Sus scrofa: one gene and its partners. The protein of the gene in region 1 purifies or fractionates together with the protein of each later gene. This does not show direct contact. Links are inferred from orthologs where the notes say so. Each region holds a gene or a part of one and is shown in the gene's direction. Other genes may lie near its edges.

Region 1 (4,300 bases):
CTCGCCGCGCGGGAGAGAGCTGCCCGAGACAGAGCCAGCCCGCCGGCGCCGAGCTGCCGAGCGCCTGGCCCAGGAGTCCCTGGTGCGGCGCGGCGAGCCCCCGGCGGCGGCAGAAGGACTCGAGCGCCAGGAGAGGGCGGACGGGGGACAAGGAGGCTCCCGGGCGCGACGAGGAGAGTCTCGGAGGAGAAGGCGGCGTGAGGGACACCGGGGCCTCCAGCCGACGCAGCCTTGTCGGGGCGAGCAGCCCATAAGGGGAGCCCCGGCTCCCAGGGGAGGGGACACCGGCGGCCCCCGCGCTAGCGAGCGGAGGGCGAGAGCGCGCGACCCGCCAGGGGCCCGCCGCGGCCGCCGCGCCGCCCTCCCCCGCGCTGTCAGCCCCGCGGGGCGCAGCCGCCGCCGCAGCATCTTCTGCCCCTGCGCCCCCGCCAGCCCCGAGGAAGTCCCCGCCGAGGACTAGGGCCCCCGGGAGCTCAGGAGGAAAGACCAGAGACTCCTCCAAATCACCCAGATGCGAAGGATTGAAACAGCCTAGCCAAAGCTTTCTGTGGATTAAAAAAATACACGGCTTTTTTTTTTTTTCCCCCGAAGAAAAGGAGAGGAAGACCAGTGGGGCTCTGCAAGGAAAAAGGGGAATGTAACTCGTGGATACCTTTTTTCCACCCCTCAGACGTCTTGTTCTACTTTGTAAACATTTTCTTTTTTTAAACCCCAGCTCCAGCCAGACGCCCCCAGACCTCCGGGGTGCGAGGAGGTGGTGGTTTTCATTTTGGGCTTTGCGTATTTGGTTCTTAGATTTTGAGAGAACCTCCTTATTTCGCCAAACATCTCCTGCGGGGTGAAGTCCACTCGGCCCCCTCCCCCGAGTCTTCGTGTGCACGGAATTCAAGGAGATCCGGTTACTAAGGATATAGAAGAAAAAAATAAATCGCGTGCCTGCCTTTTTTTTTTTTTTTTTAATTGCCTCCTTCTCCCCACCCCCAAATTAAGTTGCTTAGGAAGGGGAAAAGAGGCTTTTTCCTCCCTCCGGCAGCCCAGCCGAACGCCTTTCTTTTTTTGCCCCCGCGGATCTTCCATGTAGGAAGCCAAGGCTGGCGAGCCCGACACTCGGGAGCCGCTGCGGGGGGGCCTCTTTTTGGGGAGGCGCCGACCGGGGTAGGCTTCGCCGCCCCCAGGGAAGCGGCGGCCGCGTTCCTCCGGGGTGCGCCGGGGCCCGAGAGCAGCGCGCGGCTCGGGCCGCGCGGGGTGGGGCAGCCGGAGCGCAGGCCCCCGAGCCCCGGCGGGCGCCTCCGGGCCCCCGCGCGCCCCCCGGCCTCCGGGAGACTGGCGCATGCCACGGAGCGCCCCTCGGGCCGCCGCCGCTCCTGCCCGGGCCCCTGCTGCTGCTGCTGTCGCCTGCGCCTGCTGCCCCAACTCGGCGCCCGACTTCTTCATGGTGTGCGGAGGTCATGTTCGCTCCTTAGCCGGCAAACGACTTTTCTCCTCGCCTCCTCGCCCCGCATGTTCAGGACCAAACGATCTGCGCTCGTCCGGCGTCTCTGGAGGAGCCGTGCGCCCGGCGGCGAGGACGAGGAGGAGGGCGCGTGGGGAGGCGGTGGAGGAGGCGAGCTGCGGGGAGAAGGGGCGACGGACGGCCGGGCACATGGGGCCGGTGGCGGCGGCGCAGGCAGGGCTGGCTGCTGCCTGGGCAAGGCGGTGCGAGGTGCCAAAGGTCACCACCATCCCCACCCCCCAGCCGCGGGCGCCGGCGTGGCCGGGGGCGCCGAGGCGGATCTGAAGGCGCTCACGCACTCGGTGCTTAAGAAACTGAAGGAACGGCAGCTGGAGCTGCTGCTCCAGGCCGTGGAGTCCCGCGGCGGTACGCGCACGGCGTGCCTCTTGCTGCCCGGCCGCCTGGACTGCAGGCTGGGCCTGGGGGCGCCTGCCGGCTCACAGCCCGCGCAGCCGCCCTCGTCCTACTCGCTCCCCCTCCTGCTGTGCAAAGTGTTCAGGTGGCCGGATCTCAGGCATTCCTCGGAAGTCAAGAGGCTGTGTTGCTGTGAATCTTACGGGAAGATCAACCCCGAGCTGGTGTGCTGCAACCCCCATCACCTTAGCCGACTCTGCGAACTAGGTAAGAAGTTGTTCTGCGCCCACCCACCTCTCCCCTTGGCGCTCAAGTAGTGAAAGAAAAGCCCCCTTCGGCTGTGTGTTTGTGCAGCTGTCTCGCCAGAGGGGAGAGTACATCCCCTCCTGGGAGAAGACTAGAGGGACAAAGGTAGAGAAGGGACTGGGGGGAACCTGGAAAGGCATTCCCTGGGGGTTCCCTTACAGTTTTTTTCTCCTCCTCTGTTTCCCCTAGCGGGGTTTTGGGCACTGCTCATGCACACACTCTACAGACCGGGGGTTAAAAATTAGATAGATTTCTCATTTCCGGATCAACCAAGGGGTGCAGAGAGAAGTGTGTGGGGGGGAGGAGGGGGGGTCACGCCTCCCCTGCACCCGGAAAGGCGTTGAGGTGTGTGGCCGAGTTGGATTCGGTCCAAGCCCGCCAAGGAAGGCTGGGAGAAGCAGTTGTAAAGACTGGAACGTCTCTGCCTGCTCCTTTAGTAAATAAGGAGAGTCCTGTCGGGCACAAGTGGCTGGGAAAGTGCCCTGTCCGGAGTAGCTTTGTGTTTTGGGGCGAAGAGAGTTTGATGGGCGGCGGCGCTGGATATCTGCTCTCAACTCTGCCAGCCCAGGGTGGAAGAGGACAAGCAGTCAGGAGAAGTTGGGTGCCCTCTGCTTTTTCCTTTCTTCCTGCACAGGAAAGCACAGTTCCTGACTGCAGAAGGGTCGGGCCCCAGCCCTCCCTGACGACACGGCCCCTTAACAGCTCTGGGGCCTGGGCTTCTCAGCTGAGATCCCAGCCTCCTGCATTGCTTTCCTTTTCTCTGCATATTTGTGTGGGGCGGGGGTGCACCCGGGGCGTTCACAAATCCAAGTTCACCAGCGGACTTGGGGTAAACCTCGCGGGTGGGCTGGGAGAGGGGAGCCCCGAGTTCCCCCGCGCGGTGTGGAGAGGAGCTGCGGTGGCCAAGGTGAATTTGCACCCCTGGGGGACGAGTCAGGGTGGGGGGGCGGCGGCGGGAGTCGGATCTGAAGTTCTGGGACCGAGCGGGGGCTTGGTCGCCCCCCGCCCTGTGAACTGTGAAGTGCCCGGCCCCGGTAGAGCCGGTGGTTTCCAGCCGGGCCGGCCGAGCGCGGCGGCGGCGGCCGCAGACGTGGAGGAGCGGAGCGCCGAGGCTGGCGCCAGGCGGCCTCTTTTGTTTATCTGACAGCTAAATATCAAGGCAATCACCGCCTCGCGGCCCTGCCTCCAACCCCCACAGCTAAGACAAACAGTTGGGCTAAAAGAATGCCTCTGTTATCATAAGTTTCTATCTCTCTTTCTCATGGCTCGGCCTTTATTTTCTCTTTCTTTTTTAATTCCAGAGTCTCCCCCTCCTCCTTACTCCAGATACCCGATGGATTTTCTCAAACCAACTGGTGAGTAGAGGGTTTTAAATATATCCTTCCTATCTTAGGTTAGAAATGGAGTCTCTAGAACTCGGATTTTTTATGTCTAGGCAGCGGCTTGGGGAGACCCTGGGCTTGCCCCAAGGTGGTTATAGGTTTCCTCTGTGGGAAGTTTGGTGGATTTTTTTCTGTTTTTGTTGTGACTGAACCTGGAGATAATATGTGTGTGTATAGATACAATATTATGCATGTATGTGTTTTTCTTTTTTTTTTTTTCAAAGATGTTTCCTAGATATGCATTACATTTTGTTCCTTTTTTCATGTATTTGCACTCCACAACCCAAGTTGGCTCAGCTTTTAAACACGTGGAATTTGATCCTTGCAGAAGTGTCTTGGGAGCCAAAGAGGACAGGTTGATGGGAAACTTTGGAGACGTTATGAGTGCCAGAAGTATCAGTGGGAAGAATGGATAGCTTGGTGGGAGGGAAGACAGTTTAAAAAGGTACAGAGAGGTCTTTGGGGTAAGCGAATTTGAACCTTTAAGACGTAAAGACGACAGGCCCTTCCCTTCCTGGTTTTCTCAGAATTCTTGGTGGGGGCTCTGAAAGTTTTTAGCATAGTTCTGCCTGCCTGTTGCTTTGTCACCAGATGGCTTGGGGCCAGGGCAGAAGCCGCACTTGAGACTGGCACCAGCCCCGTTGCGGTTGTCTGCATTCAACTTCTGACTGGCAGTGCAGGGGCTCACAGTGCCAGGGGAGGCGGGGGGTCCTCAAAGCTGGGACTCAGGGGTGACCACTGGATGGTCCCCTGTATCTTAGAGCCC
Region 2 (2,318 bases), about 14 Mb from region 1:
TAACCACTGCGCCATGACGGGAACTCCTGGGATTTTTTAATAGAAAAGAATGCTGTCTAGTAACTTGAAAACATTACTGACTTACTGCATATATCATTTGTTTAAAAATAAATATCATGAGTGTTTGTCATAAGATTAATTTTTGCTTTTTGTTTTGTTTGCTTATAATAGACGCCTTCCCTGTATGCACCTTTTCCACCAAGTGTGTGTTGACCAGTGGTTGATTACCAATAAGAAGTGCCCCATATGCAGAGTGGACATTGAGGCCCAGCTGCCAAGTGAGAGTTGACACCATGTTTCAGAACTCTTGCCCTCCCTCTCATTCCCACCCTCCTGGTACTGCAGTCAACCAAAGATGGCATGACTTACCTGCGCAGATTTGGAAGCCTTGAACTTAGAGTGCTGGCTCTGCTATATGGTACAACTAATGCTAGACGTACAGTTTATGTATACAGTTGATTTTGATGTATTTATAAAAGCCTTTTTTTCTAGATTTGACATTTTTCCTGTATCATTTTACTGTATTTTTGCATGGTTCCTTGTATTGCATTTCTTTGCACATATTATGGGCTTGTGACCCTAAACTTGCAGGCAAGATTAGCTGCTTTAGTAAGTAGAATTTTGTGGTCTTTTTGTTTTTTACATAGTACCAGGTCTTGAGAATTATGAATTTTTTTATCCATTACTAACGTTTAATTTAATCAATCATGTACTTTAGTTTAATGTATAAAAATCCTCTAGAAAATGATAATATTGTATTAAGACATTCCTTAATTAGGACACAATGGCTGCTGTATATTTACAATATGGAGTTCTGAGTTAAATACCATCCTTGATACTGGGAACAGAGTATAAACCATTTTCAATCAGATGCAGGTGGTATTCACATCACCAGAGTGATCAATAGAAATTTTCTTGGTGTATCCTTTTCCTTTCAGCACAATGCAGATAGAGTTGAATATTGATATCATACATTTAGACTGCTGTTCTGATTGTATTTATCGTTTCCTACATTGTTTAGAACTTTTATTTCCCAGATTCAATTTTTGCTGCTGTGAAACAGCTCTGATGAACACTAAATATTAATTTCAATTAGCTGGATTGTATATACTTGCAGATTTAACAAAATTTTAGGGAAATCGAAGAAGACATGTAGAATTTTTCAGTCTTCTGCTAAGCACGTATAGTAAAGATATCTGCTTGTGTTGAGTTTTGTAAACACATTTAGTCAGGATTTAGAATTGCAGTCACTGGCAGGTATCTATGCATTCATAGAACTTCTAAAGGTCCCAGGATCACTTTTAAAGGGATTTTTATTAGTTTAAAGATAAATAAAGTCAGCTGAATCTACATGTCTCTTGTTTTATTTCTCTTCAAACTTGAAAACAGTAAATCTGCAGATACTGTGAGGCACAAATTATGCTGTCAACCTACTGTTGCTCTGGTTTTAGATTCCCACTTCGTACATTACCAAGAGTCGATCACTGATTTAAAATTTTTAATTTCTATAGTTAAGATTTACTGCATAATATAGAATATTAAAGTTAAGTTAATGTACTAACATTTCTCCTTTGGAGAAAGTTTTAATCCACTTCAGGATGCATATATCAAGATACTTTCATATACAGGATAGCCTAATTTTATTTGTCTAAATATGCTTAATATGCCCCAGATTGCAAATGCATCAGTCAGTAACATCACTGTCTGTATGTGGAAGACATGTTCCCATGAATCATATGTGAAGATGTCAATAAGCTTGCATTAAGCCACCTGCTTTGTAAGTGGATTGATTAATAAATAACTTATATTTCTATTGTCTTTGTGTTTTCATAGTTTGTTTTTATAAAACCATTTATATTAAACATTTGGAATTCAAAAATAATGATCTCATTCAAGTTGACATTTACATAATTTGATGGTTGTTACTCAGTTATGGCTTCTTGTCTTTTATTAATATTAGTAAATAGTTACTCTGTAGTAATTGTCAGTATCAGGTGCTTGAACATAATATGTGGAGAGATGGAAGATGGACTATGGTTAAGAAATTTGGATATGAAATAACATTTTTAAAAAGAACATTTGATGATTAAGCTGTAGTTGGTGGGAAGGGGATGAGACAGAATGAGAGAAAAGGAGAGAAACTTTGTATGCCATCTTACTGGGGACAAGAGCTAGTACCAATAGCATGTGACAGATGTAGGGCTTCACCACTATAAAACACAGGGTCTGTGCCAAGGGATAAGATGGGGAGAATTCAATATAATAGAGTCCTCTTGATGCTCCCCTAAACACAAATATAGATAGATTCCTCTGTTTTT
Region 3 (4,210 bases), on another chromosome or scaffold:
CCAAAACCCTGCCCTTATCGGATGCAAACTATTGCTCTTGGAATAGATTTACTATGAGATCCTGCTGTGTAGCACTGAGAATTACGTCTAGATACTTATATCGCAACAGAACAAAGGGAGGGGAAAAAATGTATACATGTAAGTGTAACTTGCTGTGCAGTGGGGAAAAAAAAAAACAAAACCTGCCCTTTACGTGATTTCAGTCAAGCTCTTTTTCAAGCTAGGGAAAAGGAATTCTTTTTCAAAAAGACATGGGTGATTCAGTTTACCTTCTATAAGCAGTTTTTTCTAAATTTGAAAGTAACACCTGCTTATTGGTAAAATATTTAGAAAACACTAAACTGTTTAAAGAAAAAGTAAAAAATTATTCTGGTGATAACTACTGATAATACTGGGTCATTTCCTTCCAGCCTTTTTTTCCAAACAGAGGTAGAGTATCAACAAAATTAGAACAATACTGTAAATAGCTTTGTATTTTGCTCTTTCATTTAACATTACCTCCTGAACATTTTCTCACATCATATTTTTACAAACATAACTTTTAATTACTAAATAATGCTCCATCATATAGACAGGCCATATTTGTCTTCTATTGCATACTTAAGTTTTTAGCTTTTTACAATGATAAACATGCACCAGTTAACATTTCTCATAAATATCGGTCCTCATCTCTATTGTTTCTTGAAGACAGACAGGGGAGAGGGATCCGAATATTTTAAGACATTTGATACATAATGCCAAATTGCTTACCAAAGGGTTCTACCTACCAGCAGAATAGAAGTGCCTCACACAGCACTCTTACCAAGATTGAGTACTGTCATTAACAAGCCCTGGTATGTTCTGAAAAGGGGCATCCCACCATTCGATCACACAGGTGTCTGTGTGTCCTGCGGATGGCAGGGGGCCACACCGGGCGGGGAGAGCAGTTCGGAGACGGCTGTGACGACCCCAGTGGGACGTGATGGGGGCCTGAGGCTAAGCAGTAGGGACGAAGGGAACGGGAACCCGCTCGGGACTCGTAGAACATTCGATGCGGGGGATGGGGGTCGGTGCCGACAAGATCACGCTGCGCTGCAGGGGGTGTAGGCCTGGGCGGAGGGCGCGTGTCCGGCTCGGCCTCCTTGGCGCCGGGCTCGGCACCCACGGGTGAGGTTGGCTGAGACGCGAGCCCCTCCCACCCCTTTAACAGAGACACTCCCCTTTAAGGCGGGCGCCCGCGCGCACCCGGCCCCGCCCTTCGGGTGCGCGCGCGGCGGCCGCGGCGCCGGCTCCGCCGGGAGCGCACGTGCCGGCGCCGGGCGGAGAAGAGGGAGGCGGGAGCCGGGCCGCGGGAGGAGGGGAGGCGCCGGGGGCGCGCGCGCGCGCGCTGGGCGCTGCTGGGCTGCGGCGGCGGCGGCAGCGGCGGTTACTATGGCGGAGTCGGCTGGAGCCTCCTCCTTCTTCCCCCTTGTTGTCCTCCTGCTCGCCGGCAGCGGCGGGTCCGGGCCCCGGGGGATCCAGGGTGAGTCCCGGGGCGGGGGCGGGGGCCGAGATGGAGAGGGCCGGGCGAGGGCGAGGCCTCGCGCCGCGGCCCCTGGCTACAGCGCGCCCCCTCCCCACGCGCACAATATGGCCGGGCGGGGGGCGCGGGGGAGTCGCGGGGACCCCCAATCGGCTTTCCCGGACCCCGGAGGCGCGGCTGCCCAGCTGGGACCGAGCTCACGCCGGTCCCCTGGGGACCCGAGCCCTCTTCCAGGCGGAACACGATTCGAGGAGCTCTCGGGGGTCGCGCTCCCAGTACCCCCGTGTTCCATAATGGGAAGTGCCGGGTACCTTCCCCAAGATTTGGAAATCCACGTTTCTGCCCCTCAATATGTCCAGGGGCGGGGGTCTCCATTCCCTCCCTCCAGATGCTCCTGGGGGGCGCCTTTTCTCCCGCCAAGATTGTGGGGCTCGGGCAGTGGGGTCTTTGGCTCCCCGAGAGATCCCGGTGTTGAGAAGCCTCGCGCACCTCGGATGAAAGGGGTAGCGGTGTCAAACCCTTCCTTCAGACCCTGCACTTGGGGTGCCTCTAACCCTCCCTCTCGTTCCTCCCTAATATTCTGGGAAAGCGAGTCACATTTCCCCTTCGCGCAGTCCCTTGAGTTCAGTGGGGCCACCCCCCCCCCCCAATACACATGCCCCGCGGAAGCTCTTTGGAGGAAATGGGACGAATAGGCCCCTAAACCTTTCGGGAGCTTGTCTTAGGAATCTCTCTAACCCTAGGAAACCTAGTCCCCAGAACGGTTAATCTGCATCTGGGTGTATTTGCTTTCCACCTCGCCTCGCCCACCCCACCCCAGGGGGCCCATTCAGTTCATCACTTTGTGGATGCCTTTCAGGTGACATCCTAGACCCTGCCTCCCACCCCCAAGATTATTTAAAGACCCCACCACTGGACCGGCTCCCGGCCCTGGGTCAGGATTTATTTACCTTCCCGCACGATCCCTCTTCCCAGCCCTTCCCCCCACGCAGTCCCCCACCCTCACACACCCCTTACCTTCCAAGCCCCACAGCCTCCTGCTCTCTCATGGCACCCCCACCCTTCCCTGCCGAGGTGGTACCTTTCCGAGGGACTCTCCACTGGGTGTGTTGTTTATGAGGCTTAGGGGACTGAGGCGAGCAGACGAAACCCTAAAATATTTAATTGAAGGGAGTCGTCTCAGATGTGTGTCGGCATTGGGGTAGCAGATGAAGGTTATATTTGGCAGTTATATTGAAGTGATTATTGACCCACAGAGGGATCTGGGAGAGACGATCGAGATTGTATTCACTCCCCATGTACAAAGCCTGCTGCTGCTTTGACTTCTCAGCAGCCCCTAACCTTCCAGCAGCAGGAGATCAAGTGTGTGTTCTGTGGCTCTCTTCTCGCCACTAAAAATAATGGTTCTCCGGTGGGTTGAGGCTTCTTTTAAAAACCAGACGATCAGCCAAAGACAGCATCCCACTTTGGAGTATCAAAAACAAGTTCATTACCTCCGGCCTTGATATTTGTTCCCAGTGGTGCAGCCTGTGCAGTGGGCTCTTTGTTCACCGGCTAATGCTTCTGTTAAGCACCTCGTGCGTGTTCCTGGGGCTGGCGACTCTGTGGCATAGGTAGCACACCGCCGCTGCCGTGGGGTCTGATAGACGTGGTGAAGGTGTGTGAACGCAGCCTGAAAGGGAGGGTAAGTTCCTGGTTTTCGTGAACAATGTTTGCTGGGCCTTGCTTTGGGAGTATGTAGCATGTTATTTCTCTGGTAGGGTGGTTAATAAGGAGACTAAGCCTTCAGGTTTGTCATTTTACACGTGTAGGTATAAATCTTTAAATTCCTTCCATAGGAATTTTTATCCTGCTCCTAATAGGTCCAAGATTTGTAACAGCCATTTCCCTGTTGGTTTGGTGTGGTGTTTGGTGGGGTTTTTTCTTGTTGTTGTGAGCCTAGTTAAGAATGTTTAATTGATAATCCAACTGGTTCTGAGTGGGGCAGGGTTCATTTTTTCGGTAACCTTCCTAAAATGGATGTTTGTTGGGGTGAGGGTGGGTGGTCATAAGAGGGAGTTGATTTCTTTTTTTGGTAAATTGGAAATTAGGTTGTGTGTCCAGCAAACATTCTCAAAGGCCTTTAAACTTGGCCAGACACTACAGTTTTTTTCCTGGACACATCTAGTTGCCAATAGTGCATGTTACAGAGACCACTGTTGCAAAAGGCTTCAAGTCAAACATCAGTTCTGGGAAAAGAGAGGCTGTGCGATAACAAGAACTTGATTGCTGCCCTCCCCTGCACTTCCTCTGTGGCGCTTCCCTAGGTGGGCCGGAGGAGTGGCCGAGCCAGGCAGCCCTGAAGCCGGGTGCTTGGACGGGACCTGAGGGCAGCAAGGGATAGGTGTCTGTTCAGTAGTGAGCTCGCAGCGAATCAGTACGAGGCCAGTGATAGGAGCGTGAGTTCCAGGTTGTAAACAGCATTCATTTGACAGGTGAACCATGTTTTCAGGCCTGCCTTTGGAGTTTTCATGCTAGTGTTTTAAAATGTAAACCTGAATTAGGAGCAGAGAATCTGACATTCATTTCTTAAGACAAAAGCAACAAGGGAGATGCTTGAGGTTCAGAAAGGAATATTTTGAATTTCTGTGAATAGACTGAAAATGTAATTCCAGGCCAAGTCTTGTAATTTTGTTGAGTGGACATGAATTTGAAGTATGGTGAACGCGA
Region 4 (3,500 bases), on another chromosome or scaffold:
CCTTTTTAAATCAACTTTAGTTTGTCCTGAATGTGCTAAGATTTCAGTAACATTTGATCCTTTTTGTTACCTGACACTTCCATTGCCCATGAAAAAAGAACGTACCTTGGAAGTTTATTTAGTTAGAATGGATCCACTTACCAAACCTATGCAGGTAAGAAATGATTCTTTTCTTTTCTTTTTTTTGCCTTTTCTAGGGCCGCTTCCCATGGCATATGGAGGTTCCCAGGCTAGGGGTCGAACTGGAGCTGTAGCCACCAGCCTACGCCAGAGCCATAGCAATGCAGGATCTGAGCTGCATCTGCCACCTACACCACAGCTCACAGCAACGCCAGATCCTTAACCCACTGAGCAAGGCCAGGGATCGAACCCACAACCTCATGGTTCCTAGTCAGATTCGTTTACCACTGCGCCACGACGGGAACTCCAAGAAATGATTATTTTCTTGGCATTTGTTATTTTTATGAAAAATTTGTGATGAGTCCTTATGCCTCAAACACAATTAGATAAAACTAAGCTTTTTTGCATGAGATTTTTATAAGATAAATACTTTGGAAATCAGTACAACTTTTCAGGATCTTGAAAGGGTGAGCAGTGTGCAGAGTATCATTATTTGTCATGTAGAAAAAAATTTCTCAAAGGCTTTTTCTTATCAAAGAAAAATGAGAGTGGTTTGACTTAACAATGTTGGTATGAATATTAGCTTACAAAGATTAATAATGTAGTGTTATTTTCCCTATTTCCCAACTTGAACTTTCTTTAATGTTAATTGTAATTTTTTTCCTAGTGGCTATGGAAGTGAAAATAGGACTGTACATTTTGATTCATGATATGATAAAATAATGGTAATATTTAAATACCTGTAATTTTTAGGCATCTAAAGAATGTGAAAGAGAAACATAAATTTAGTTATACTAAAAATACTTGCTTCAGGAATTCCCCTTGTGGCTCAGCAGGTTAAGGACCCAACACTGTCTCTTTGAGGATGCAGATTCAATCCCTGGCCTCCCTCAGTAGGTTAAGGATCCAGCATTGCTGCAAGCTGCAGTTTAGGTCACAGCTGTGACTCTGATCCAGTGTTGCTGTGTCTGTAGTGTAGGCCCAGCTGCAACTCCAATTCAGTCCCTAGCCTGGGAACTTCCATAATGCAGTAGCTGTGGCTATTTAAAGAAGGTGGGGGGACTTGTTTCACCAACGTTCTTACCTTTTAACTGTTGAGAGTATCAGTTGTCTGCCTGATTCCATTGCTTAGGGTCATAATTGGATTATTTTACATTTTAGGGAGCAAAACACTATTCTCTCCCTTTATTAATCAATCAGTCCTTTTTGACACTTGACCCCCCCTAGTAAAAGTATTTCTTATCTCCTTCTTTTCCCCTAAATTCTATTATAACACTTACCAGGTTTTATTATGACCTTTGGTTTACTTTAACTTTTCTCCCCTAGACCATGAATTCTTTGAAGATTTCAAAGAATTTGAAAACTTTGTAAATCTTTGTCCAACCCTCAGGACTTAGAGGTGTTTAGAAATTTTGTTCATTCAATATGTATTAGGCACCTACTGAGTATAAAGCTCTGGTAAACAAAGTAGACATGGCTCCTGCTTTAGAAGATTGTTTACTAAAGGTCCTAGTTGAAGGTTCTAAATAGAAGCGCAGTTTGTTAGAGTGTGTTAGTTGCTTCATTCTGCACAGACTGGTGTAACAAAATGCCATAGACTGAGTGACTTAAACAACAGAAATCTGTTTTCTTCCTGTTCTAGAGGCTGGAAATCTAAGATCAGAATGCCAGTGTGGCGGTTTCTAGTACAGACTCTCTTCCTTCATTTACAGATGGCCTCCTCCTTACTGTGTCCTCAGACAGCAGAGAGGGGGAGAGAGAGTGTTGAGCACAAGCTCTCTGTTGTCTCTTCTTAGAAGGGTCCTGATCCCATCATGAGGGCCCCATTTGGTTTTTAATTTATTTTTCCAGCAATGTGAATTTCATGATCTCATTAAACTCTCTCTCAAAGGCCCCGTCTCCAGATATCATCACATTGATTAAGACTTCACATAAAGGAGTTCCCGTCGTGGCGCAGTGGTTAACGAATCCGACTAGGAACCATGAGGTTGCCGGTTCGGTCCCTGCCCTTGCTCAGTGGGTTAACGATCCGGCGTTGCCGTGAGCTGTGGTGTAGGTCGCAGACGCGGCTCGGATCCCGCGTTGCTGTGGCTCTGGCGTAGGCCGGTGGCTACAGCTCCGATTCAACCCCTAGCCTGGGAACCTCCATATGCCGCGGGAGCGGCCCAAGAAATAGCAACAACAACAACAACAAGGCAAAAAAAAAAGACTTCACATAAGAATTTTGAGAAGACAATTCAGTCCATAGCATTATTCATAAAATCTACATGAAAGGTATATGCTTTGGACAAAATTATGATCTTACCATTCATTTAATGGAAATATTTGAGTTTACCATCAAGTGTTTGAGTTTACCCAGAATATGAGGAATTAATAAAAAATATAGTCCTTTCATTCAAAGTAATAAGTGTAGTAGAGACTGGTCATGTACCCAGTTATGCAGATTTCACCCACTGCTTTTGCTGTCTGTTTAATATGTCTCCTTCATGAACTCATTAAATCTGCTACCCTCCTGTCAGTATTTGATCCCGTAGTGCTGAAGATATTATAGAGAGCAAGAGAGACCTGGCACTTGCCTTTATCTATGAGCAGGATTAATAAACACCTGCTTTTATTTTTGGCCAAGGGAATATATGAACATACTTCTAAAATTACATCCTTTACTCACTTATTCACTTATTTATAAGTATAGGATTGTTAACATTCTTTTTAAAGGAGAGAAAGTATAGCAGTATTAAACTACACCCTTACCTCTCTAGTTTGTAACTTTACAAATATATGCCAATAAGTATAAGGAAATAAGAGGAGTATTTAGAAAATGAGTAAAAAATCTAAAAATTAATGTACTGTCTCTCTACACTCATTTGCCAAAAATAGTGCTTTCCCATGCCAGTAATATAATCTGTATTATATAGAGGCAGATTGAATTCAAGTTACACATTAGCCCATAAGGTTTGTGTTATTCTCCCATAATTTGGGTTTTAATTTATTTTTCCAGCAATGTCGATTTCTTTAATTTACCTCTATTTTGGTGACCAGCAATAAAAATGTATGGATAGTAGAACCATGGTCAGCATAGGAAATTGGATTTTTTTTTCCACTTGGAGGCTGTAACAACTCAAATCCAAAATAATCACCTCATTAACACTATGCTTTAACCAGCTCAAAAGGAAAAGGAAGTTAACTAGGTTAGCCTACTTGAGTTTTCCTGTCACTGAAGTTGATTTAAATCATAGAAGTTTATTAGTAGTTGAACTGAAACATGTGTTAGGAATTGGACTCACATACTCTGCAAGGTGCTGGAATTACAAAGGTGTTCCTAGTCCTTGTTCTCAAGAAGCTTATATGGTGTGAAAAGTGCTCTGACGGTGCTATAGGAG
Region 5 (3,500 bases), on another chromosome or scaffold:
AGCAAAAAGTTATTAAATGCTATGCTCACTCTGTTTTTTAGAAAAAAGAGTGGATTCAACAGACAGAGTTTACTTTGTGAATCATAACACAAAAACAACCCAGTGGGAGGATCCCAGAACCCAAGGGTACGTATGTACTACAGCCTTTCTTAGGTTATCTTACACATGTCTGAAGATAGAATTGCATTAAAAACCTTGATTCAGATGTTTTTAGCACCTGTAAAATGTTCACCTTATGATTATTGCATTATCTTTTAGCTTACAGAATGAAGAACCCCTGCCAGAAGGCTGGGAAATTAGGTATACCCGGGAAGGGGTTAGGTACTTTGTTGACCATAATACAAGAACAACAACATTCAAAGATCCTCGCAATGGCAAGTCATCTGTGTAAGTGAAGCTCTTATGTGCTGTGTAATGAGGACATAGGTTTCACTTCTAATTTAGCCTCAAGTTTAGCAATAAATTTTATTTTGTGTATCAAGAAAATTTACACAAGTAATACTCTACTATGCCTGTCTTTGCTCTACCTTCTTATAGAATGATTTTGCGGCACATAATTCCTTAGTAAGAACGATAGTAAATATTTACCTAGTGATTACTGTGTGCCAAGGATTCTTCTAAACATTTAGTGTAAATTAGCTCATTTTATCTTCCAACAATTCCTTGAGGTAGATACTGTTATTTTCCAAGTTCAGAAACTGAGGCTTAGGGAGCACAGCTAACTTATGCAAAATTATAGGCAAGTAATGGAAGTGGTTTCAGACCAAAGCAGTCTGTCCGAAGAGTCTGTGCTCTTAACAGGTGCATCATGCTGTTGCAACATCACAGAATGAGATGTTCAAGAAAATTTAATTTTCCAGGTAAAAATAGCTCAATTAAGCATTTGAAAGATCTCTCCTTAACTCCCTTATTACTCTTAGTGTAATGTCCTTGTATCAGTAAGTATGTAGAAATAGCCATAAAAACTTTTTGCAATTCCTACCGTTGCATCTGTCCACCTATCAGTATCTCTCTTCCCTCTTCATCCTGAAGATGAACTATCATCGTTCTTATCAAAGTCCAGTCCTCCCTGTGCTGGTGCACTAGCTCTTCCCCCTCTTTTCCAGTTCACTGTTCCAACAGTGATCGTCTTTATATTCTCCATCTTTCTCTGCTGAATTATTCTCAGCAGCTGTTAATTTCCTTAAATTAAAAGCAAACAGGGAGTTCCCTTCATGCTCAGTGGTTAACGAACCCAACTAGGATCCATGAGGATGGAGGTTCGATCCCTGGCCTTACTCAGTGGGTTAAGGATCTGGCGTTGCTGTGAGCTGTGGTGTAAATCACAGACTTGGCTTGGATCCTGAGTTGCTGTGACAGTGGTGTAGGCCAGCAGCTGCAGCTACGATTCAACCCCTAACCTGGGAACCTCCATATGCTGCATGCATGGCCTAAAAAGCAAAAAAAAAAAAAAAAAAAAAAAAAAGACAGACAAGCAAAACACCATAATTCTTCACCTTATGAATTCATTCAGTGAAAATTCATTTTTATTGCTACACTTTACAAGAAAACTACCTGAAAGAGCCTCTGCCCACCTGGGATTTGAAGTTTTCTTTGAAATAGTCAGTAGTTGACTTTAGTATTTTATTTAACTCACTTTTTTTTTTACAAAAGATCTATCCATACACATGCCCTCCCTCTTCATTTTTATATGTTGTGTGTCCTCATTACTTGAATCTCTGTTGGCCCACTAAATATATCTTTACTTCTCTCCCAGCAAGTAACTTTCCTGTACTCATTTTTTGGACCCTGGTACACTCCAGTCACATACTGAATATTAAATATCCAGCTTTATTATGAATTATTATATAGTTTGTTTTTGTTTTTCTTTAGAACTAAAGGTGGCCCACAGATTGCTTATGAACGCAGCTTTAGGTGGAAACTTGCTCACTTCCGTTATTTGTGCCAGGTACTACGGTGGTAAATAAATCTTATGTTCATAATCATTTAGTTTTATCTTTACACAGTACATGCACTGTAACTTACATTACAATGTTATTTTTCTTTGTAGTCTAATGCACTACCCAGTCATGTAAAGATCAATGTGTCCCGGCAGACATTGTTCGAAGATTCCTTCCAACAGGTAAGAACGATTTTATCAGAATAAAATAGTACAGTTAGCCTCTGTATCTGCAGCTACCACATCCGTGGATTCAGCCAACTGTGGATAGAAACTATTCTGGGGTGGGGACAGACGGGACTCCAGAAAGTTTCTAAAGGCTAAATTTGAATTTGCTGCAGCCAGCAAATTCAGGCATACCTCATTTTCTTGCACTTTGCTTTTATGTCGCTTTTGCAGATAGTGTTTTTTACAGATTGAAAGTTGTGGCAACCTTGTATTGAGCAAGTCTCTTGGCACCGTTTTTCCAGCAGGATGTGCTCACTTGGTGTCCCTGTGTCACATTTTTGTGATTCTTGAATATTTCAGACTTCATTATTAAATTTATATATTGATCTGTGATCAGTAATCTTTGATGTATACTATTGCAAAAAGATTACAACTTTCTCAGATGATGGTTAGCATTTTTTTAAATAATAAAATATCTTTTAATAAAGGTATGTATGTCTTTTTAGACATAATGCTAAACTTAATAGACTACATAGACTTATTAAGACTGTCTAGACTATTAAGTCGAGACTTAATAGACTACAGTATGATATAAATATAACTTCTACTCACACTGGGAAACCACAAAATTCATGTAATTTGATTTATTGTGGTATTCTCTTTATTGTAGTGGTCTGGAACCAAACCTGTAATATCCCCAAGGTATCCCTATGTTTATGTAGTATTTATATTGCATTACTTATTATACATAATTGAGAAATAATTTAAAGTATATGGGAAGATAGGAGTTCCTGTCGTGATTCAGTGGTGGTTGCGGGTTCAATCCCTGGCCTTGCTCAGTGGATTAAGGATCCAGCGTTGCTGTGAGCTGTGGTGTAGGTCGCAGACGCAGCTCAGATCCCATGTTGCTGTGGCTCCGGTGTAGGCCGGTGGCTACAGCTCCAATTAGACCCCTAGCCTGGGAACCTCCATATGCCGCGGGAGCAGCCCTAGAAAAGGCAAAAAGACAAAAAAAAAAAAAAAAAAAAAAAGCGTATGGGAAGATGTACATAGCTTATATTACTTGACTGTCTTTGGATTTTAGTATCTGTGGGGGTGTCCTGGAACCAACCTACCTTGGATATTGAGGGAAGATGTACAACTTGTCTCATTGTATTCTGTATATCCAAAGGGAGTTTTAGAATTTAGAAATTTGAAACCACTCAGAACACAGCTCTATCAATGACTATCATTTACTGTGTGTTCATTATAGTAATAGTCATAATAAATCCTATCATGTGTTGAGTGACTGCCATATGCTCGGCACTGGCATCTTATTTTCTTTTATTTATCTATATAGTCTTTTTATGGTCGCACCCACGGCGTATAATGTTCCCAGGCTAGGGGTAGAATT
Region 6 (3,500 bases), on another chromosome or scaffold:
TCAGGTTCTTTTGAAATCACATTCATACCTAGCAGTTAGATAACCATGCCCTGCATCTTCTTTTCACTCCTAGTTAATAGCGACATGATGGTCACTGACAGCAATGGTGCCGTCAAGCTTCCACAACTGTGTAAATTCTGTGATGTGCGATCATCCACCTGTGACAACCAGAAGTCCTGCCTGAGCAACTGCAGCATCACAGCCATCTGTGAGAAGCCACAGGAGGTCTGCGTGGCTGTCTGGTAAGGCTGCCTTTTTTTATTATAATTTTAATTTTAATTTTTGTTAGCCATGCTCATGGCATGCAGAAGTTCCCAGGCCATGGATTGAACCCGCACCGCAGCAGGGACTCCAGTCTCATCAGTGATAATGCTAAGTTCTTAACCTCTGAGCCACCAGAAAACTCCAAGGCTGCCTTTTTAAACCTTTCTATCACTCATGTAGTCATGTGTTTCCTGCCTGGAGCCCAGTATCCTGTCCCACTCCCTTCCCTTTAGACTATCTCTCTTTCAGTTATTCAGTGTCATTTCTAGAGATACTCTATAATTTTTCAAATACATACACACATACACACCCCTTTGCTATTTATAATAAATCTGGAAACCCTTCCTTGTATCAGGGGTTTGTCACTTGCTTATCATTTAGTTGACACCCCTGAGGACCCTGTAGTGATGTCAAGAGCTTTGTTCTTCGGAGGCAAACTCAGTCCTGTTTTGTGGAGAGGAAAAGTGGGCTGTTGTAAAAAGGAAGAACTTGTCAAAAGGGGGAAAGGACGCACAGCACCAGAGGACAAGCCATTCCTTAGTCAGAAGGCTTGGCCAAGGCATCATGTCACTGCTGGGTCAAACACTGCATCTTTCTCTGGGAGCAGAAGCATATCTTTTTCTTGGAGCAGATTTCCTCTTCTCTTCCTATCTCCCTGCCACCCCATCTCCATCTCTCTCTCTCTCTCTCTCTCTCTCTCTCCTCTCTCTCTCTCTCTCTCTCTCACACCACACACACACACACACACACACACACAGAGTGGGTGCTCATGAATCATTTGATTAACTCATCATTATGAATTGGGAGTATGAGCCAGAGGTGAAAGGACAACAGAGTGAGTCCTTATTTTATAAAGAATACCCCTTCATTAATGAAATGTAACATTTTTGAAGACTTCTGATGGTTTCAATTCATCAGCTCTTTTTTTCAAAGTCACCTCTGTATCTCCTGAACATTTGCAAATGAGGATGTAAACTCGCATATCTCCCCTCCTTCTTGGAAAGAGGTCTTTTGAGACTTTCTCCAGACCATGTATATTCAGCCTTGATGATAGATATGAAAGCCTTGCACATTTCCCTACATACCTGGACATGAATTAGGTTCAGAAGAACCAAAGGACATGACAGCAAAGACCTGCTGTGACAGCTTGCTGTACCTGTCAGCTGCACTCATGTCCAGCTCTGAGCAATGCTTTTGAAAAGGGGATTTTGTGAGAGATTGTGTTCAGAGGACAGGGACCAGTGTGATCCAGAGGTTCAGAAGTGTGCTGAGGGCTGGTGGAGGCAATTAGACATGAGGACCTGGGCTCTGTTGAGAGAGATCTGAAGGACTCTCAGACGGAAGCTATAATCAACTTGTTCTGCAGAACTCTAGAGGCCAGAGAGAGACCCATAGAATTTACAAGGGGAAAAACAGACAGACTCAGTTTAAAAATTTTCTCAATCATAGTTTCCTGAATGTGGGACAGGCTCCCTTCTTTGGAAGAGTCAGACCAGGAGAGGCTGCTGACCACCTGTCAGGTTTAGTGCAGGAAAGCTTCAGATCCCAGCCGAGGTGACCCCAGGCTCCTTCACTTCTGTTCTCTGCTGACCATCCTTACTTAAATGTCCCCTGGGGGTGAGAACTTACCTCTGCTCCCCCAAACAGGCTTTTGTCATTAAGGTGGTTGCCCTGACCTCAGCACAAGTCCCAGTGATGCAGTGTGAGTCACGCATCCCTGGAATTGAGGCTTTGCCATCTCAGAAGATGTGAGCACGCTGGGGAAGACCCTCTCTGTCCCCTCTGAGTCTCAGCCCCAAAGAGTCAATACAGTGAGTGGTGTTTTTACCTGTCTTGGCAAAGACACATCTTCCTGAGGAGTGGAACTGGGGTGCAGATGAGGAAAGAAGGAGGTGTGGGGATGCCCTCCCATGCCCCTGCCCCCTGTAGCATTGAAGCACTCACTCTGGGCTGCTGGAACCACCCCAAATCCCTCCAGGGAGCTCCCTTCCACCCACCCTGGAGTAGGGCAGGCTTGGCGCCTCTGCACTGGCAGCTAGCATCTAGGACTGGTTGGTGCAGGGGCCCACACGTCTGGCCACTTTGCCTCAACTTGGGACAGCTCAGATGAGTGCTCCCAGCCCCCCAACTGCCCAGAGGTTGGCTGAGGTCTCTTCGCAACCCCTCTCTTAGCTCTGTGCAGCCCTACTCCCTTGAGTCGCCACAGAGGCATCTCCCCAAACCTCTGCACAGAGATCTCACGGCTCAGAGTCTGTGTCCAGGACCCACACCCTCAGGTGGGAGGCGGTCTTAAAAATACCAAGTCAGGGAGTTCCCTTCATGGCTCTGCAGTTAATGAACCCGACTAGCATCCATGAGGATGTGGGTTCGATCCCTGGCTTCACTCAGTGAGTTAAGGATCTGGCATTGCTGTAGCTCTGGTGTAGGCCAGTGGCTACATCTCTGATTGGACCCTTAGCCTGGGAACCTCCTTATGCCACAAGTATGGCCCTAAAAAGACAAAAAAAAAAAGCAAGTCAGGGAATAAAGGACTCTGCTGTCCCTGGTTCTGCTCTCCTGGCATCAGCTTCCATGCACTTCTCATTCATTGGCTGATTCATTCATTCGTTTCACTAATACAACTTGTGCAGCCAATCCCCCGTGACATGCCTAGGTCCTTTGCAAGGATAGAGATATTTCAGAACCCAGATTAATCTCATTACCGAGGTTCTTTTGTCAGTGGGTACCGCCCACATCTTCAGTGGCTCAGGCCGCGTGGGAGACACCCAGCCCTCTGCCAAGTGGGACTCCGAGTCTGCAGCGTGGCTGGGACGCTGGCTGTAGAGTCAGCAGTATACGGCGGCATCAGCTGTTTCACTGAACCATAAAGGAAGAACACCTTGCAGTTCTTTCCCACAGATCTGTGTTTTTTCCCTCTTCTGTCCTTTCTGTCATTCTGGCAAACTGAAATTCTTCATCTAGAAAGTTGCTTCCGTTTTCTCAGCTGCTGGCTTGGATGTGCCCTCAGCCACCATGCCCTGGGCCCAGCAAGCAGAAAAGAATTGTAACTACTTTTCCCGAAAACATTTTAGCCAGATTCTGTCCAGCAAGCCTAGTGTTGCCTGGCAGTGCATTGAGCATGGAAGGTTGATAGTCACCCTGAGGACCTAGCTGTCTCCTGCTTTCCCACACCCTCCCTTTCATGATTTAAATGAGAATCAGTGTGTAGATATCCCTGGTGGCCTAGTGGTTAAGGA
Region 7 (4,014 bases), about 140 Mb from region 1:
TTGTAAAATACTCACGGAGTATCGCTAGAGTAATTACAAATCAATACTAGAGGCTGGTTCTGAGTCCTGCTACCAAGGTTTATTTAATTCCAAGTTCAAATCACACAGAAAATAAAATTTTCTCCTTAAAAGGTTCTGTGGAAAAATGTTCTCTGTTCTGTGTAACAGCCTTCTCGGTTGTGTTTGTGTCTGAAGAGAGGACTAGTCTGACGGGAAGAATTACAAATCTGGAGCTCATTTTGGCGTCCCAGAGGGAAGGTGGGTGGAGCGTCTCACAGTAAATTAGGAATTCAGAATGAAAACGTAGCCGAGTTTATTTGGGTTTCTAGTGACACCTCAGAATTATTGTGCAGGCGTGTCAGAGGCAGCTCAAACTAATGACTGCTCCTCCTCCGCCCCGGGGGTGCTGCGTGCTAAGAACAGGAATCCCTCTCCTTTGGGCATAGGGATGAGGCTCTTCCCTTGCCCCGCAGAATCAGGAAGGGGGAAGGGGAAAGGAGTGTGGTTTGGAGCCCAGTCTGGGTCGGCTCTGAGTTCCGGAGAGGGGCGGGAGGCAGTTTGGGGGTGTGTCTGAGCTCAGGATCTGAGGTCTGAGGCCAGGATTTGGAGACTTTCTGGGCCTAGAATTTTGGGGTGGGTATCTAGGTTTTGGGTGGATGTGACAGCGGGAGGAAACAGTAGACTGGGTAATATACGAAAGGCACTGAAGCAGCATCGTGGGGCGGGGATTTTGAAAGTTGAGACGTGGATATGGGGAGGGGAAGTTGAAGCCTGCCTGATGGTACTAAGGATCTGGATGAATGTGGGGAATTGATGGTGCAGGGCTGTGAACTGGGGTCGGGCTTAGTACCACATCTTAGGTGAGAAGAAAAGAGGCTAGGAGAAAAAAGCGTCGAGCAGCCACAGCCTTTTTCCGAAAGCAACTCATACCCAGACACACCCATCGCTCAGCCCTTAGCTCTTAGCCCTTAGCCCTTGAAGGCGGGAGCCTCGGCAGCGTCTGGGCTAGACCCTGCCCCCACCCGGCCTCCACGGAACTCGGAGCTGCTCCTGCTGGGGCAGGGGTCTGGCTGCCCGGCCCCCCGGGAGTTTGGGGGCGTGACCAGTGAGCGGAAGCCTGCGGCTCTGGATTGGCTGCCCAGCGGGCCTGTGGGCGGTGCTCCTGGGTAGGTCCCGCTTGGCCGCTTGCAGACGGCGGGGAGGCGGGGCCGGCGGGAGCCCGACAGCCAATGGTCGCGCGGCCCCCAAGCAGTTACAAAGGGCCGGAGCGAGGCCGCCTCGGCGGCGGGGGAGGTGGGGCGAGGCGAAGCTTGTTGAGGCGAGGCGGCGGCCGGGCCGGGCCGGGCCACAGGCAGTGGCGGCGGGACCATGGAGGTGGCGGCCGGTGCTCGCGTTCCCGGCTGCTCCTCTTCGTGCTGGCGGCGACGGCCACGCTGGTCCCGGAGGCGACGGGTGAGCGGCGGCGCGGCGGAGCTGGCGGTGGCTGCGGGGCGCGCCGGCCGGGCCCGGCCTCTGGCTCGCTCCTTCTCTTTCTCAAACATGGCGCGGGGCCGGGGGCGCAGGTGGCGGCGCCCGGGCGGAGGCCGGACTTTAAGTGCCTGGCTGCCGCCACGCGAGCCGCGGGCGGGAGGCCGAGGCGGGGCGAGGGCGTGGGTTCTAGCGCGGGCGGACGTGCCCGGCAGCCCGCGGCCGCCCGAGCTGCAGACTCTGAGGGAGGTAGCGTCGGGCGGAGCCGTCCAGGGTTGGGGGCTGCCCTCTGGGAAGCGAGTGGGCGCAGGCCGAGGGCCCCAGGGTGCGAGGCTCTCCTGGACTTGGAGAGCTGGGGCTGCCCCGAGTCCCCGCTAGTCGCTGTGTGGCGTTGTCCCGGGCACCGCACCCAGAGCTGTTAGGTGCTTCAGGCTCCGGGGGCCCGGGCGGGGTTGGGGGCGGAGGGGGCTTCCAGGGCGGAGTGTGAGCTCCAAGTCTCCAGGGCCTCCTCCAGCAGTGGGAGGGCGCGACGTGTGACCCCCGAGTCAGCAGAGACCCTCGGGTCAGCAGGCCTCCCTGGCCTTCGGCGCCGGTCTGACCCAGCCGAGAGGGGCTGCTTCCTCATCCAGGGGTGGCTTTGGAATGGGAGGTGCTGCGAAGCTTTGTTTGAGGACAAGGAGGCACTGAGATGTGCGGAATGTTTCTTCTTTTCGTGCGTCTGGGGAAGTGTTGAAGTGAATCCACTAACCAGAAGGCTACAAATTGTTTCGTAGTAGAAACTTGAACGTTTGCTCACTCTGCGGGGTTTGGAATGTTTGAATGGAAATGACTGAGTTGATCACACGTTTTATTTCCTCGAAGGACATCTCTAGAGATGTTGCATTTCTTGAGTGACGGTAGTTTTCATCAGTTGTCTGTATAGCTGGTTTTCAAGGGAGAATGTTTGCTGCATTTTCCAAAATATAAATTGGGAAAGGGTATATGGTCATCATCTACCCCGTGGAGGGAGGAGTGAAAAACTTTGTTAGCATCCCAACTATAATACTAGAAACTGAAATATAGAGCCTTAGTATAAGCAACTAAAATAAGTTTCTCTTTCTGTAACTGAACAGCAAATGCTTTTGAAACAAAAAAACTCAGTACTTAGGGTGCCAGATATTACTATAAGCAGCTGTCTAAAGAAGACTTACTGTGGTATAGGTGCATAAGGTACACCAAAAGTGTACTATCTAATCCTCACATCCCTCAGGGCCCAGTGGCATTTGCCCCATTTTATAGATGAGAAAACTGAGGTGTGGAGAGGGTTAAGTATCAATTACTAAGAGCTGGAGTTAGGATTTGTACCAAGGGTTCAGTGTTTGCAAAACCTATACGTTTTAAGATACACACTTAACTGTCTGGCGAAGCCCATTTTTCTTTTTTAGTCCTCTAATGAATAATTGATTTTTATTATTCACTTTTAGATTTTGCCCTCATAATTAGAAAAACAGGCTGGCTTTTTTCTGGCTCCTAGTACATTTTTGGAGTCCTTTCACACCTGGCCTTCATTAGAGGAAACAGTGAATTTTTGACATTGGCCTGAGAAGGGGGTCAAGACAGGTGGGAGAATCAATATAGATATGCATCAAGCATAAAATTAACTCGAATAACACAGTTCACTCTTTTCCACCTAGCTTAGCACACAGAGTGTTCCTATATTCAAGTAACAATATTGGACTTCATTAATGTACAGAGCATGGCTTAGTCTGTGCCCTGGAGGAGTTAATAGACTACACTGGCATGCAGACAAGACAAAGCTGATCCAGGTGCTATCATCCTTAAGTCTAGACTATCTCAACTGGTCTGCCTGCCCTGGTAGGTTACGCTGATGTTTCCATTTATCCTTTCATACATTCTGAAGAAGCTCAGGTCTTTTTATTCATTTATTTTTAATTTTTTTTCCTTTTGCAATCATATCCATGGCATATCGAAGTTCCCAGGCAGTGGATCAAATCTGAACTGTAGCTGCAGCAATGCTGGATCCTTAACCCACTGTGCCAAAGTGGGAACTTCTCAGATGTTTTTTAAAATTTGTAATTTTAAACTCCTTTCTAAGAGTTTGTAGTTGTTCCCTCATTGTCCAGGTTATCAGTTTTGTATTTCTTTGCCCAGCTTCTCTCTCCAACATAAATTTCTCTAGGGAAATTGGTTCCTTGTCATTGGTGCACAGTTTAGTTACCAGTATGTCTGCTTATGTACCCATGTGAGTGTGCTCTTTCATAATGTTTTCTTTGAAAATATACCTGAAACTCAGCTCTTCTTTACATTAATGCTTCTTGAATGTTTCTTCCCCTCATTGGATTCAGCTGTCAGTTTAGTCCTGCCTCTTTTCCCTACCCCCAAATCCATTTGCTTTTCAGTATTTCTCTCGCTTATAGGCTGCTGCCAAGCTAATCTTCCTTAGCCATCCTCTCAAAGGGTTTACAGGATTTCCCATTTGTACTCAGTGCTTAGAGCAGTACTTGAGGCTTATGATTAGGGCCATCACTTAGTACCCAGAGATCTCAC

What was found.
Region 2: the proteins of SMAD7 (region 1) and RNF111 purify together in Homo sapiens (affinity purification with western blotting; 3 studies listed by BioGRID). This does not show direct contact. The link is inferred for Sus scrofa from reciprocal best matches to the Homo sapiens genes SMAD7 and RNF111.
Region 3: the proteins of SMAD7 (region 1) and ACVR1B purify together in Homo sapiens (affinity purification with western blotting; 3 studies listed by BioGRID and IntAct, with this or other methods). This does not show direct contact. The link is inferred for Sus scrofa from reciprocal best matches to the Homo sapiens genes SMAD7 and ACVR1B.
Region 4: the proteins of SMAD7 (region 1) and USP15 purify together in Homo sapiens (affinity purification with western blotting; 3 studies listed by BioGRID). This does not show direct contact. The link is inferred for Sus scrofa from reciprocal best matches to the Homo sapiens genes SMAD7 and USP15.
Region 5: the proteins of SMAD7 (region 1) and WWP1 purify together in Homo sapiens (affinity purification with western blotting; 3 studies listed by BioGRID, with this or other methods). This does not show direct contact. The link is inferred for Sus scrofa from reciprocal best matches to the Homo sapiens genes SMAD7 and WWP1.
Region 6: the proteins of SMAD7 (region 1) and TGFBR2 purify together in Homo sapiens (affinity purification with western blotting; 3 studies listed by BioGRID). This does not show direct contact. The link is inferred for Sus scrofa from reciprocal best matches to the Homo sapiens genes SMAD7 and TGFBR2.
Region 7: the proteins of SMAD7 (region 1) and TGFBR1 purify together in Homo sapiens (affinity purification with western blotting; 19 studies listed by BioGRID). This does not show direct contact. The link is inferred for Sus scrofa from reciprocal best matches to the Homo sapiens genes SMAD7 and TGFBR1.

The regions. Positions count from the first base shown.
Region 1 is NC_010443.5:98,539,516-98,543,815, reverse strand, and holds the start of SMAD7 (mothers against decapentaplegic homolog 7), read left to right. Parts: upstream 1-1,500; coding exon 1,501-2,113; intron 2,114-2,137; exon of another isoform or gene 2,138-2,675; coding exon of another isoform or gene 2,676-2,748; intron 2,749-2,754; exon of another isoform or gene 2,755-3,059; intron 3,060-3,453; coding exon 3,454-3,507; intron 3,508-4,300. UniProt on the Homo sapiens protein: Antagonist of signaling by TGF-beta (transforming growth factor) type 1 receptor superfamily members; has been shown to inhibit TGF-beta (Transforming growth factor) and activin signaling by associating with their receptors thus preventing SMAD2 access.
Region 2 is NC_010443.5:112,960,966-112,963,283, reverse strand, and holds the end of RNF111 (E3 ubiquitin-protein ligase Arkadia), read left to right. Parts: intron 1-171; coding exon 172-289; 3' UTR 290-1,818; downstream 1,819-2,318. UniProt on the Homo sapiens protein: E3 ubiquitin-protein ligase. Required for mesoderm patterning during embryonic development. Acts as an enhancer of the transcriptional responses of the SMAD2/SMAD3 effectors, which are activated downstream of BMP.
Region 3 is NC_010447.5:17,312,912-17,317,121, forward strand, and holds the start of ACVR1B (activin receptor type-1B precursor), read left to right. Parts: upstream 1-1,410; coding exon 1,411-1,501; intron 1,502-1,769; exon of another isoform or gene 1,770-3,185; intron 3,186-4,210. UniProt on the Homo sapiens protein: Transmembrane serine/threonine kinase activin type-1 receptor forming an activin receptor complex with activin receptor type-2 (ACVR2A or ACVR2B).
Region 4 is NC_010447.5:27,062,014-27,065,513, forward strand, and holds part of USP15 (ubiquitin carboxyl-terminal hydrolase 15), read left to right. Parts: coding exon 1-154; intron 155-3,500. UniProt on the Homo sapiens protein: Hydrolase that removes conjugated ubiquitin from target proteins and regulates various pathways such as the TGF-beta receptor signaling, NF-kappa-B and RNF41/NRDP1-PRKN pathways.
Region 5 is NC_010446.5:50,415,244-50,418,743, reverse strand, and holds part of WWP1 (NEDD4-like E3 ubiquitin-protein ligase WWP1), read left to right. Parts: intron 1-41; coding exon 42-126; intron 127-258; coding exon 259-387; intron 388-1,872; coding exon 1,873-1,948; intron 1,949-2,050; coding exon 2,051-2,122; intron 2,123-3,500. UniProt on the Homo sapiens protein: E3 ubiquitin-protein ligase which accepts ubiquitin from an E2 ubiquitin-conjugating enzyme in the form of a thioester and then directly transfers the ubiquitin to targeted substrates.
Region 6 is NC_010455.5:16,822,370-16,825,869, forward strand, and holds part of TGFBR2 (TGF-beta receptor type-2), read left to right. Parts: intron 1-73; coding exon 74-242; intron 243-3,500. UniProt on the Homo sapiens protein: Transmembrane serine/threonine kinase forming with the TGF-beta type I serine/threonine kinase receptor, TGFBR1, the non-promiscuous receptor for the TGF-beta cytokines TGFB1, TGFB2 and TGFB3.
Region 7 is NC_010443.5:240,858,872-240,862,885, forward strand, and holds the start of TGFBR1 (TGF-beta receptor type-1), read left to right. Parts: upstream 1-1,214; 5' UTR 1,215-1,229; coding exon 1,230-1,452; intron 1,453-4,014. UniProt on the Homo sapiens protein: Transmembrane serine/threonine kinase forming with the TGF-beta type II serine/threonine kinase receptor, TGFBR2, the non-promiscuous receptor for the TGF-beta cytokines TGFB1, TGFB2 and TGFB3.